Linked DNA regions of Caenorhabditis elegans. The protein of the gene in region 1 interacts with the protein of each later gene in a pairwise test. Each region holds a gene or a part of one and is shown in the gene's direction. Other genes may lie near its edges.

Region 1 (5,947 bases):
TTTGAACAGCTTTAGGTTCAATTTCATGACAGGGTTCGATTAATCTCAAGAAATTGGTGACACCAGTTATGCCTAGAGTTAGAGTCATGTACTATAAGTTCAACAAAGAGGAATAGTCACAGTAAAAACATTTTCCCGGTTTTTCAGGCCCGCACCCGAATTGAACATTATGAAAACCGTTTAAAAGAAATGCACGGGGAATTCCAGCATGTGAGACGAGAAGCTGATGAAAATCGAGAGGAGGTTCAGAGACTCAGATGTTTGTTTTAATTTTCCTCAGACGGCACCGGTATTAGAATGTATACAGGCACCTAGGCAGGCAGGAGCACGTGCCTGATTTCTAAATATGGTTTTCAAATAAAGTTACTTTCAGACGAGTTGGCACTCCGCGATGCTTCTAGGACTCAAAATCAAGCGGCTATCTATGACACTCCTCCGGATGAGTTCAGCATTAAATTTTAAAAGGAACTTTTCATAATCATCATTACTCCACTCAAAGTAGAACATCTCAGCATGTTTACATTCATTTAATATTTCATTAACAATAAATGTATTTTAATACTATTACTGGATATCCAGCTTTTCACAAAGCTAACCGATATGAAATTTTTAAAAAATACCGGAATGTACAAATGAGGTCAATTTTAAGGTAACGTTTATTGATCAAGAGCAGAACAGAATAAAACAAAAATCCGATAATAAACCGACCAACTTCAGAACAAAAATCCCAACAGACGCGATTTCTTCGTTAATTACAAAATAATATTAAACTAGCTGATGATTAAACTGACTTCAACTTTGAGAAATTTTATCAAAAGATCACAGTTTCTTCCACACAGAATACATCACTTTCTCTGCCTACATAATTTTTATCCCCCTTTTCTAATGTTATCACTTTTTGTCAATTCACTGGTTCAAAATTCTGACTATGAGAGTCACAATATAGCCTACATGTTACATGACTTCTTCCAATTCCCCCTTCCCATGCAATTTTCAATATCACGTTCCGTGACTACACTGTAGTCAATGGACATAAATGATTGGAAAATGGACGGTACAATGTGGTGTGGTGATAAGAGAGTTATCACCTCCTCCTTTCGTCTTCTATTTCTCTTTTGGTTTTGATGATCATTCTCTCGTCTTCTTATCATTTAAATTGAGTGCAGAGGCAGGTAGAAAAACTGAATTTATATTCAGTGGTTTTTTTTTCAAATTGTTAGTATTGCAGGTGTTAAGTTGAACGATTTATGAGCTCTTTTTCTAGACAGGCTTCTTTTTGATAAGAAATACTTTTTTGTATATTTTTTACAACTTTTCTGCTAACAGTGCCCTAACTGGGATATGAGACGAAATATGTAATCTAACAGATCTTTTTTTACAGTAACTATAGTTGTGTAATGTAGATACGGTATTTCCAAATTAAACTGAGATATAATATAAAAAATAGGCTAAAAATAAGATCAAGCTCTCGAAGAAACTGATCTGAAGCTCTTGCCAATTACATGCAGCTTCTGTAATTCATTTTTTCATATATTTAAGTTTCACTAAGATACCGTATTTCCTCTTTTTTTTGTAGATGCATTTTTATAAGTCTAAGTTTTAACTGTCATGGCAGGTGTAATACTTTTTGAACCGCTGCGTTAGATTCGAGCCAAGAGTTTCAATTTTCGTACAACTTATTGATATTTTTTAACTTTGTAGTACTTCGTACTTATCAATTTCAACCACATATGTTTTTTTTTCAAATTTTTAAAACTTTGTCAGTTTTAGTATGGTGCATCTCAACAAAACAATTCAGGAGGGTGATAACCCGGATCTCACTGCCGAACGCTTGACGGCAACATTTGATACTCATGCGATGGCTGCACAGATTTATGGGGGAGAAATGGTAAGCTATCTAGTCAAAATGGAATATTTGAATAACTGTCTCTAATGTTTCCAGCGCGCCCGTCGTCGTCGTGAGATCACCGCGAAGCTTGCAGAAATCCCAGAGCTCCATGACTCGATGCCACTTCCGTATATGACAAGAGAGGAGAAAATTATGGAAAGTGCTAGGAAACTGACGGTTTTGACACAAAGAATGTCAGAGATCATTGATCCAACTGATGCAGGCGAGTTGTATCATTTGAACAAGTAAGTGGACTTTTTTCTTGGACTAATACCCTTCGTTTGACAGGCTTAGGATTTTTCCTAAAATTACATGGAAAATTAATTTAGAAATCAGATTCAGCATATGAAATAGTTTTTGGTACAAAAATTTTATTATGATAACGTAAAAATAAGGAAAAGCAATTCTTTGGGATCTCATGAGATTTTTGAAAACATCGCCGAACTTTCATTTTTTTTTTACGTGCGAAACCATCCAGATTAAGGGCGATTCTAAAGAAGTTACGCTCACTGTACTTTAGTTTATCATATCAAAAATCAAAGTAGAATAATACAAAAATACAAGTTTAATAATGAAAGAGCTCTTCAAACTGAGCATTTTCCCAGAAAATCAATAATTTTCCAGCGAAGTTCTCGGAATCGAAGGAAATCCTATGGCTCTTCACGGTGTGATGTTCATTCCAGCCCTCAACGCTCAAGCTAGTGATGAGCAGCAAGCCAAGTGGCTCATTCGAGCGCTCCGACGAGAAATCATCGGAACCTACGCCCAAACTGAAATGGGTCATGGCACAAATCTTCAAAATCTGGAAACAACTGCTACTTATGACATTGGAACTCAGGAGTTTGTGCTTCACACTCCAAAGATCACCGCATTGAAGTGGTGGCCAGGGAATCTTGGAAAAAGCAGCAACTATGCAGTTGTAGTTGCACATATGTATATAAAGGGAAAGAACTTTGGACCACATACCTTCATGGTTCCATTGAGAGACGAGAAAACTCACAAACCACTTCCAGGGATTACAATTGGAGATATTGGACCAAAAATGGCTTATAATATTGTAGACAATGGATTCCTAGGCTTCAACAACTACCGTATCCCAAGAACGAATCTTTTGATGAGACATACCAAAGTAGAGGCTGACGGGACTTATATCAAACCACCACATGCAAAGATCAATTACTCTGCAATGGTACATGTGAGAAGTTATATGCTTACTGGACAGGCGATTATGTTGTCGTATGCGTTGAATATTGCAACAAGATACTCGGCAGTGAGAAGACAGGGGCAGATTGATAAAAAGTAAGTTGGAACTTTTATGAATAAGATCTGAAGAATACCAACTACTATTAGTAAAATAAAAAAGGGTTATAGGTTGAATTTCTTGGGTTGAGCTATCTCTAAATATATTTTTCATAACTAAAAAGCTTATTTCATGGCTTGAAAATAGATTCGTCTTTAGTAAGAATGATCATAACTATAACTATACATCAATACTTTTATGTGCATACCTATGTAGTACGTCTATTACCTTTATATATAGAAGTTCCGTAAATAACAGACTTCGCTGTGCCACTCACAACTTACATAACTTCTCAGTTTTGTTACTGTTACGAATTACGAACTACGATATGAATTACGCCTGTTAAACAATACAACGTAAATGTTACGAAAAATGTTACGTTTGATCAACAAAAAATGCGGGAATTTTCCCCCAGGAAAATGTGACGTCATCACGCAAAATCAGTTGAAAAATCTGCATCTCTTCTCCCGCATTTTTCGTAGAACAAACCAAAATGGGACACTTTGACACCACGTGCGAATTACGAGAAACTTAATTACTTGCAAACCCCATCCTCACTTATCCTCTTTCCAGTGAACCAGAGGTAAAAGTGCTCGAGTACCAAACCCAGCAGCACCGTCTCTTCCCATTCATCGCCCGTGCCTACGCTTTCCAGTTTGCTGGTGCCGAGACCGTGAAGCTTTACGAACGAGTACTCAAGGAGATGAAATCTGGAAATGTGTCTCTTATGGCTGACTTACATGCATTGACTTCTGGTTTAAAATCAGTTGTTACTCATCAAACTGGAGAAGGTATCGAACAAGCGAGAATGGCTTGTGGTGGGCATGGATATTCTATGGTAGGAATGTTATAATTGAAATTGCAAATTCTAAAGGAATGTTTCAGGCTAGTTACATCTCTGAAATCTACGGAGTTGCAATTGGAGGATGCACGTATGAAGGAGAAAATATGGTTATGCTTCTTCAACTCGCTCGTTACCTCGTCAAATCCGCTGCCCTTGTGAAGTCCGGAAAAGCTTCTCAGCTTGGACCACTGGTAGCCTACTTGGGCGCCAGAAGTGAGCCAACTAGCCTGATAGATAGAGTTCCAAATGGTGGAATCACGGAATACATCAAGACATTCCAACATATCGCAAAGAGACAGACGTTGAAGGCTGCCAACAAGTTCTTCGGATTAATGGAGAATGGAGAAAAGAGAGAAATCGCCTGGAACAAGTCATCCGTGGAGTTGAATAGGGTATGTTTGACTTATGCTTGTGATTTTTGAGAATACGAGTGATGGTACATTGTGGCCTTGATGTCCATTTGCCCATTTCCTTGCAGAAAATGCAAAACCTGCAAAACTTTAGATGCACTTTTGAGCTTGTTTATCAATATTTGTCAACAATCATTGAATTCTTATCAGTTGTCCCTGCAACCTTACTAGGAAAATTAGTTCAAACACCAAAATGTTGGAAAAGTGCATTTGCTATGTAGCAAAAACTGGTGAAATCTGGTAGAATTTTGTAAATCCGAAACCTTTTTTGGGCTCTATATTAGGGTGCATACTAGATACCAGAGCCGTATTTAAAGTTAAAGATGACTAAAGATTCTGAACACACTAGCTTAAGACATTGTAACAAAAGCGACACTCTTAAAATTAAAAGTCCGAAAAGTATATATTTCTAGGCGAGTCGCCTCCACACCCGCCTCTTCATCGTCGAAGCCTTTGCCAGACGAGTCAACGAAATCGGAGATATCACCATCAAAGAGGCTCTCAGCGATCTCCTCCATCTTCACGTCAACTATGAACTTTTGGATGTTGCCACGTATGCACTGGAAGATGGATTCATGTCATCCACTCAGTTGGATTATGTCAGAGATCAATTGTACTTCTATCTCCAGAAAATTCGACCAAACGCAGTTTCATTGCTAGATTCCTGGGAGTTTAGTGATAGAGAGCTGAGATCTGTAAGTTCCAAAGCTAATGGGTTCTAAAATTAAATAACTGAAATTTCAGGTCCTAGGCCGCCGTGATGGTCATGTCTACGAGAACCTTTTCAAGTGGGCAAAGGAAAGTCCGTTGAACAAGACAGATGTTCTTCCGTCAGTGGATACATATTTGAAGCCAATGATGGAAAAAGCCAGGCAGAGCAAGCTATAATTCTAATTTATATTTTTGATTTTTTTTTCTCTTGCATACTCTTTGCTTATACTGTTAAATATTTGAAAATGCAAACATTGCACTTATAAATAGTACAGGCCAATAATCACAACTCCGCCCATCACTCCTTTTATACCCTTTCCATCAGTTCATCCATCCATTCTTCTTTTTTGTTGATATCAGTAACATGGCGAACCGATCAATTCGTGATGGAGATAACCCCGAATTGCTGGAAGAACGGAGGATGGCAACTTTTGATACGGATAAGATGGCAGCGGTGATCTATGGAAGTGAAGAGGTAAGGACTGCAAACTACAAACTATTGATTACAAGCTTTATTAGGCTAATAGAAAATCAGATTATACATAATTTTAGTATGAATCAAGAGTTATCAAAGCTGAAATTTTATAATGTTTTAAAGCACAATGGAATGTATACATACATGTTCTTGAAAAATATTGTATACCTTAAGTGGAGACCATGTATGTTTCGCACCGTATAACTTAATCAGTTAGAACGACATGTTCCACCACGTGGCATTGAACAATAAAATCCCTGTAATTCCACAAAAATCAATTTTCGTCGTTTTCCCTTTGTCGGAAAAATTTTTTTTATTA
Region 2 (7,748 bases), 2.5 Mb from region 1:
AAAGTTAAAAATGGGCATTTTAGCTTCGTAAATAAAATCATATAATAGAAGTAAGAGATAGATAAAAGGTTTAAAATGACCTGTTTTTTTCAAGAAAGTATGGAAAAAACTGATCAAGAATCGAGCCGTTGAGCCGTATGAAAAAAAAAAAAACTTCCGAGTTTGAAAACACAATCGCATAAATTTTCCGCTCGCGCCGTAAACTGGGGACAAACAATTTTTGATCTATTCTAAATGTTTTCATGTCTGAAACTGAAATTGACATAATTTTGACCGAAATTTTTCGAAATAAACTAATTTTACACCATGAAATTGAAGAAGACAAAGACATTTTCAAAAGATTTTACAAGTTTTATGGAATATTAGGAAAAAAGATTTCCAAGCCTCTTGACTACGGTATTAATTAGCAATCGTGGTGAGACCCAGCAACAACATATTGAATAGGTCCTTTAAGACCAACAGTTTTTAAAGGTTTTTTATTCATCACGTGTTTTCAGCTCGACCATTCGGTGTAATTTGTGCAAACACCGTCACGCGCAAATGCAGACTTTTGCACGCGCTGCGGTGAAATTCCTCTTGGGGAATTCAAATATTTTTTCCCGCCTTTTTGTGAAAATTTTCGAGGCGTTGGTCGAGCTGAATACACGTGTTCATTTTACATTTTTAAAAATATGTTTCCGGTGTTTTCGGTGTTAATTGAAAATGTTAATTGGGCCGGCAAGCTTGAAGATTTTTGACATGAGAAATTTAGGATATTGGCGGCTTTCCAGATTACGGTATGCAACGTAAGCAAACAAACACTTCACGTAATTTTGCAGATCCACGGAAAATTTATAGTTTACTTTTTTTGAGACCCAAAGAACTCGGGGGATGTCCAATTGGGGGGATTACCAACTCGGGGGATTGGCCCCGCCCACAGAACCGTGGCTTGCAATACGCCCATTTCTGCAACTGCCGCACGGTTTCGAAACTGTATTTTTCTCAATAGAGCGAGAATTAACAAGAAAAATACAGTTTCAAAACCGTGCGGCAGTTGCAGAAATGGGCGTATTGCAAGCCACGGTTCTGTGGGCGGGGCCAATCCCCCGAGTTGGTAATCCCCCCAATTGGACATCCCCGAGTTCTTCGGGTCTCCTTTTTTTTTACTTTTTTTTTACATCAACTTCCGGTAGAATCTCGAAATTTTGGGTGTTGTTGAACTCTTCATCCTTTCCTCGCTAATATGAAAATGTATCGTCATTTTTCAGTATGTGAAAATGTATCGTTGAACCTTAAATCCAAAAAGGACAATACTTACGCGCGATGATACTTGGAAAATAGGAAGTGGTTTTTCCGATGATTTTTTCGGAAAAGTTTTTAAAGAGAAACTGCTATATAATTTTCATTCAAATAGAGATGCTATAAGCCGCTGTTCCGTACAGTTTTTGGCTTTGAGATAATTTAAATTACTCTGATCAATTGTTTTCTCCATGTTCACATTTCCATCTTCCAGATTGAACTCTTTTCACAAATTTCTTCATACAAATGAGAGAAACTGTCAGCAGTTCTGTTATTCAGAATATCGAGAGACGCAGACAGTCATACCACTTCCCGTCGTGTCTGTTCGCATTTCACACGCGCGAAACTGTCATTTTTGAACTTAATGTTAACACCCTACCCTGCCAATTCTTGAGTTTTTTACTGGCGAAATTAGCTTTTTTTATTATCAAAATATTCCAGATTTTACAATGGAGGCACCTCCGGCCCCGAAGAAGGCACGAAGGAGTGAGGTAATTATATCTGATTTTCAACAATTTTAATATCAAAACTTCAAATTTCAGGTCAGTAGGATGCAAGACGAGTCGGTGCTTTGCGATGACGATGAAGAAGATTCTCCGTTCACATTGTACTTTGTCGATCTTCCCAATGAACCAACAGTCAAAGAAATTCGCAATTTAGAAGAGTTATTCAAAGTATTGCGTTATTAATTTATTTATTTTTCAAGTTTTAGGCGTATTTTCAGACTGCAAAAGCTGTGGGAATCATGCCAGAATGGATTGATTCAGATGCACTCGAAGATCTGCAGAAATCTGAAGACTTTTTCGTTTTACCCTGTTTCCGCGGAAAGCTTTTTCGAAAACTTCAAGCCCGGAAATTGAAGTTTGTGTTAAATTAAATTCAAATAAATTCAAGTCCACAAAATAAAATTACAATATTCAGAGTATACGGTCCTCCAATTGTTCTTGAAAGTATCGAAGATGGGAAGCAGCTCCCACAATGGAATCATCCAGTGTATTCCAGTGTTTTTCAAGACGTAAAAATCAGTTTCACCGGGTTGAATCTTACGAAAAAGCAAGAACTCTACGAAAAAATCGGATGGATGTGTGGAGTGGTTGGAGATGCTCTATATCACGAAACGACTCACCTAGTAACTGAAAAAGCAGAACAGACGGAAAAGTATAAGGTTAAATAGTATATCAAGCAGAAATTTAAAATAAAATAAAAAAATTCCAGGCTGCTGTCAATAATTCAATCAAATTAATGCGAATCGGATGGATTGATGATCTCTGGGAAACTTCTCAAACCACAATGGGCAGATTTAGTGCTTTATCGCGGGATTCAGTTAATTCCTATGCATTGAGAGTTTTTGAAGGGCTCGTGAGTGATCGAAATCATGAATTTGAATTTCAGTTTTATACATTTAAATTCAGGAAATGGCAATCACATCGATCGACGGCGCTGATCGTACCAATTTCATTCAGCTGATTGAAGATCACGGAGGAAAAGTGCCTGGAACCATGTCAAAAACCAGATGTAGCTATCTTATCAGTGATAAAATTACTGGAGTAAAATATGCAAAAGCTGTTGAATGGAAATCAATGCAAATTGTGCAGTCTCGATGGATTCGGAAATGTGTAGATTTAGGACATCTTGTAGATGCGGGGTTCGTTTTTGAGAGGGAATTGGCTCAAATCAAGCGACATTCATTCAAAAAACATTAAAAAATCCGAAAAAGAGGAACATTTTGCAGAAAAAATATATTCTTAAATCAACGAGCTTACGCGAGATAAGCTATCAAAACATGCAATAAAAATTTAGGATTTAATAAAAACTGCGACAATGACAGGAAAATGAAAATTCCGTTTTTAGCAAAATAATCCTTTTTTTTCAGTTTTTTTTTCTGTGTTTCATTATAAAATTTGCTCGTTTTTGGGCGCTCTACTTTCCATTCAAATGATGTTGCCAGAAAAAGCGTTTTACAGAAAATATCATCCAAAATATTTAACGGCTGATCATATTCGATCTTCCACCCCGAAACGTGATGCTAATGTGACTGAAAGTGTGCCGGATATCTCATCAATCGCTGGACATGGAGGTCGTTTGGGTACATCTTCATTCAATTCTTCTATTCCACAAATGGATCAATCATATCAACATCAATCAGGATCTTCGTTTATTTCATTTGCTTCTACGTCAAAAATCCCGTCGAGTACTTTTACGAATAATGATTCAACATTAGGAAGATCTGGAAGCGGAGTTAGAGATGGAATGTATGTGAAAACGGAAATTTTAGAAAGAACAATGAATTTTCGATATTCAGATCAACTCCAATAGCTCGAGTTCAAACTACTCCACTGATTCGATATCCAACTACTCAAACAGCATCCGTTCAAAATATTGCTGACGTTATTTCTGATCCTATCGATGAACTTCGAAAAAATATTGACGATGGACTTGGAGATCTTTTTGAAGTTTTTTTTTTCTATTCTTTAAATCAAAATTAACATCAATTTTTCAGAACTGCATGTTCTATATATGTGGAGTCGACGAGTCTCGAATGGAAAAATGGCGTCGATTTCTGAACGAGACTGGAGCAACGCGTGTCGCAAAATTCACATCAGCAACGAATGTGGTTGTAGTTTCGCCGAATCAACAAGAACGAATTACCATTCGAAAACACCTTCATCAAGAAGATATTGCAATTGTTACTGTTGGATGGGTGGTCGAGTGTGTCAAACAGCGGAAAATGATTTCAGTGGAAGGTCTCAGCACTTTTACAACATCCTCTTTCTCTTTCGAAGTTTTTTTTCGGAAATTTGTAAATAGAGAAATATTTGTATTTTCTGAAGAAAACTTCATCTTTAATTAATAGCTTCGATAAGTTGCTTGAAGATTTCAGTTTAAAACTGAATTTTTTTTTAACTTCGAAGTTTCGTTTTACAAAACTTTTTTTTTCTCATCAACATAAACCTATTTTTGACATATCTCCCAATTTTTTCCTTATAATTTCGATGTTCTCAAAAAACACCAAAATATTTCGACGAAACTTTTGATGCAACTTCTCAAAACTTAACTGAAAATAAAGTTATCTTCAGAAAATAACAAATATTTATAATATATGTATGATTCTCCGGAAAAAAAAACTTCGATACAACAGTGAACCGAAAAAAGTGTCGAATACCTCTGGATGGAACGAACAGTTTAACTATTAATTTTTTCAGGTTATCAATGGACTGAAAATACAGCTGATGAATCACAATCTTCTCAATCTCAACTGCAACCAGTAAGACCTCAGCCTCTTCCCCGGACCTCGTCTAAATCAACCATTCCATATGGTAAAACATCAGGACCAAGCTCTACTTCAACTCAAGTCGGAATTTTCTCGTACGATTGTATTTTATTTTTTTATGTTCCTTTTCCATATTCTCATTTTCAGATATCACACGTATTGTGTCCATTGTTCCGTCGATCAAGAAGTTTCTGATGATTTGAAAGAGAAAATTCCGTTGAATGGAGGCAAACTGATGGACGATCCAGATTATGCGGAGTTTGTGATTTTCGGACATTCTGGACCAATGCACGAGTTGATTTCATTTGATGCTGTTGTCACGGATTTTTATATTGTAAAGATTGAAACCTGACAATATGCCAGACAATATATTTATTTTTCAGTACGCGAGCATCGGAAACAACAGATTTCTCAATCGATCGTGTTATCCATTATTTGTACCACTTCCCCGTCCTCCAATTCTAATTTTCAATCAACGTGGCTTCCAATTAAAATGCAAAGATCCATTTCTCCGTGATCGTGTAAGAGATATTATCGAGGACAATGGAGGAAGAATTGTGGAGCAGTTGGAACCAAAGGATTTTATTATTATGATTGATGCAGAAGACAATCCACCAAGATACCATTCCCGAACACTCGATTTTTCATGGATTATAGCCAGTGTGAGCAGATGTCGATTGCAGCCAATTGATAACTTCCTGTATAAGAACAACACGAGGCCTCTAAGTGGATTTCAACGAGACGATGATCTCTGGGAAAAGTGTTCTCGAGAGAAGAATAATAGTACACAAGAAATGGAAGTTGAGGTTGAAGATAGACATCGAGTACAGGATCTACCAGTAGAAACTGGGAATGGGAACATCGGTGACATGACGACCCCCTATGTGAATCCTTATTTCCCCGATCTTCGAAAGCCATATACGATGAAGTGAGTTTTCTGGTTGCAAATTATGAAAATTGTGAAATTCTAAATTTTAACTACCGTAATTTGTAGGTTATTGCGATTTTCAAAAAAAGAAATGTGTATTTCAGCATTTTGTGCAACTTTTTCTCTATTAATAAGCTTTTCCTGGAGCTTCATCTCAAAAATATTGTTGATCAGGTTTTTTGAAATGTATATTTTAAAAAAGAAAAAAAACATGAGACATTATTACATTAAATTTTGAAGAATCGGGAGAATATTTCTCCGGACCGTATTTTCGGAGCATTTTTGGGAGTTATAATGGTAATATCTTAAACTCATTTAGATATTTCTGAAAAAAAAATTTAGTTGCAAAACTTTAAAATAACACATAATTTGTCAATGTTATCCAATTTTATAGCCTCCAACTCGACGGTGTTAGCGAATACATCAACAATATGGAGTCACCGGCACGTGAAACACAGGAAACGCTGACAACTTCTCGAGTTGGAAGCATCCTTCGAAAAGCTGTCGTGAACACTGGAAGAAACGAAGATTTCGAGGATGAGCCTTCCACGTGCCACCTAATTCGACCCAGAGTTCCAGAAAATCGAAAAACTGTCTCTAGTGTATGGCATTTCTGTTGTATATCACCGTTAGAAGATTTAATAGTTTCCAGTATTGTCCGAATAGTTTAAGGAATTAAATATATTAAACTCATAGCCAGCTTATTAAAACTATGAGATAAATGTGTATTTTTCAGACTCCCGTTCTTGTTCGTGATGTAAACCGTTCAATGAGATATATGCCAATGGATGAATCATTCGCAGATCAAAATCAAGAACACGAAGATCTGAACCGTCGATATGCAATGAATCCACGTTTTTTGCTCAGTGTTTCTAATATGGATCCTCAAGTTAGATTTCTTAAGTTTTGATTTTCAATTCTATATATTTGTTTTTTTCAGCGAGCCGCAGATCTACAAGAAACTATCATGAAGCTTGGTGGTACCATCGAACGTGAATTCAATAAAGATGTGACTCATCTGATTGCGAGCAACATGCAAAGAGCTCCAAAAGTTCTTTGCTCAATTGCAGCTGGAAAATGGTGTCTAACACCTGATTATGTGACTAAAAGTGCTGAAGTTGGTCGATGGCTCGATGAAAAATCATTTGAGTGGACTCGAGAAAAGTTGTTGGCGTGTTCGAAAAAGAACGAGTCCCTCAAAGAACGAGATAGTCGGAAAGTTTCCGAGAATCTAGCAGCTGTTTGTGGATTATGGAGGCAACGTGTGGCAGAGATGCCGGTTACATTTTCAGTTAGCATGGTCAGTTTCTAGATATGTAGCTTTCTGGCTTTTTGGGTCAATTTCTGAATTGAAATTTAAATTTACTAGAACCAAAAACATTCAAAACTCACTAGTCTGCTCAACCTGTTTGAAACGGGCAAATCTTTCAGGAGAATCGTCAAAATGGAGCATTCTCGGATTGGCGTTGCGTAATTCATCTCGACGATAAGAGAGCTGGCGTATTTTCATCGATTCTGGAAGCCGGTGGTGCCATTGTTCATTCGATTTCCGAGTATGTAGAAGTATCTACACTTAAGCCTAACATTGTTTTGGCATCCAAAGAGTTCCCATGGAATCCTCAGGTAAATTAAGAAAATCTCTTCGATAAAATTTATTCAAATTTTAAGAGCGCTGTGTTGCTGAAACGTGATAATATTCCGATCTACGTCTTCGACATCCTTTACGACTTCCTAATCGACAGAGATAATCTAAATCGAACCAAGTTTTGGCATAATGTCTACATGAAAGCATGAGCCATTCCGATTTTCTAAATGTGCTATATATTTTTAATTGGTTTCATTTTTTGTCTTTTTTAAATTTCTAGTGATTGTTTCAATTTTTTGTTTCGTAAAGTTTTCAATAATTTTGCTTGTCCTCGTTGCTTTAATTTATTTTGAATCGTTTAAATAACGTAATTTTATTCTTCTCGTTTCATTTCTTATAAGAGAATATCTTTTCAAACAAGTGGGAAAACGCGCGCAGCTGCCTCTCATGCCATATGTTCCCGCTGTCTACGGTTTGCACAACGGGAAAATAATCAATAAATTACTTCCATTCTCTTGCACTACCCTTTTTGCAATTACGCTCTAGTGAATGGTTTTCTTATGTATTTTTTGGATTAGTATTTGAAATTTTAACAACGTTTCCAGAAATTTTGGTTTTAGTCCCACACCAAAATATCTTACTTTTAAAATTCTTCAAAAGGTATTTGAATTTCGGAGCTTATTTGT

What was found. Proteins that work in one complex are often made in the same cells at the same time.
Region 2: the proteins of acox-1.1 (region 1) and mus-101 interact in a two-hybrid assay, tested with the Caenorhabditis elegans proteins (2 studies listed by BioGRID).

What each region holds. Positions count from the first base shown.
Region 1 is NC_003279.8:12,936,791-12,942,737, forward strand, and holds acox-1.1 (Acyl-coenzyme A oxidase acox-1.1), read left to right. Parts: upstream 1-1,764; 5' UTR 1,765-1,771; coding exon 1,772-1,888; intron 1,889-1,942; coding exon 1,943-2,133; exon of another isoform or gene 2,134-2,512; coding exon 2,513-3,187; intron 3,188-3,761; coding exon 3,762-4,026; intron 4,027-4,073; coding exon 4,074-4,424; intron 4,425-4,855; coding exon 4,856-5,137; intron 5,138-5,186; coding exon 5,187-5,330; 3' UTR 5,331-5,434; downstream 5,435-5,947. Other genes in the region: tag-138 (ENTH domain-containing protein), read left to right, coding at 148-259, 374-462; Acyl-coenzyme A oxidase acox-1.2, read left to right, coding at 5,518-5,628. UniProt on the Caenorhabditis elegans protein: Involved in the first step of peroxisomal beta-oxidation by catalyzing the desaturation of fatty acid-derived side chains.
Region 2 is NC_003279.8:10,478,941-10,486,688, reverse strand, and holds mus-101 (BRCT domain-containing protein), read left to right. Parts: upstream 1-1,724; 5' UTR 1,725-1,727; coding exon 1,728-1,769; intron 1,770-1,820; coding exon 1,821-1,952; intron 1,953-1,990; coding exon 1,991-2,139; intron 2,140-2,199; coding exon 2,200-2,443; intron 2,444-2,493; coding exon 2,494-2,637; intron 2,638-2,690; coding exon 2,691-2,923; intron 2,924-3,242; coding exon 3,243-3,530; intron 3,531-3,580; coding exon 3,581-3,731; intron 3,732-3,778; coding exon 3,779-4,022; intron 4,023-4,481; coding exon 4,482-4,644; intron 4,645-4,696; coding exon 4,697-4,883; intron 4,884-4,932; coding exon 4,933-5,477; intron 5,478-5,871; coding exon 5,872-6,079; intron 6,080-6,213; coding exon 6,214-6,366; intron 6,367-6,417; coding exon 6,418-6,777; intron 6,778-6,908; coding exon 6,909-7,100; intron 7,101-7,145; coding exon 7,146-7,271; 3' UTR 7,272-7,387; downstream 7,388-7,748.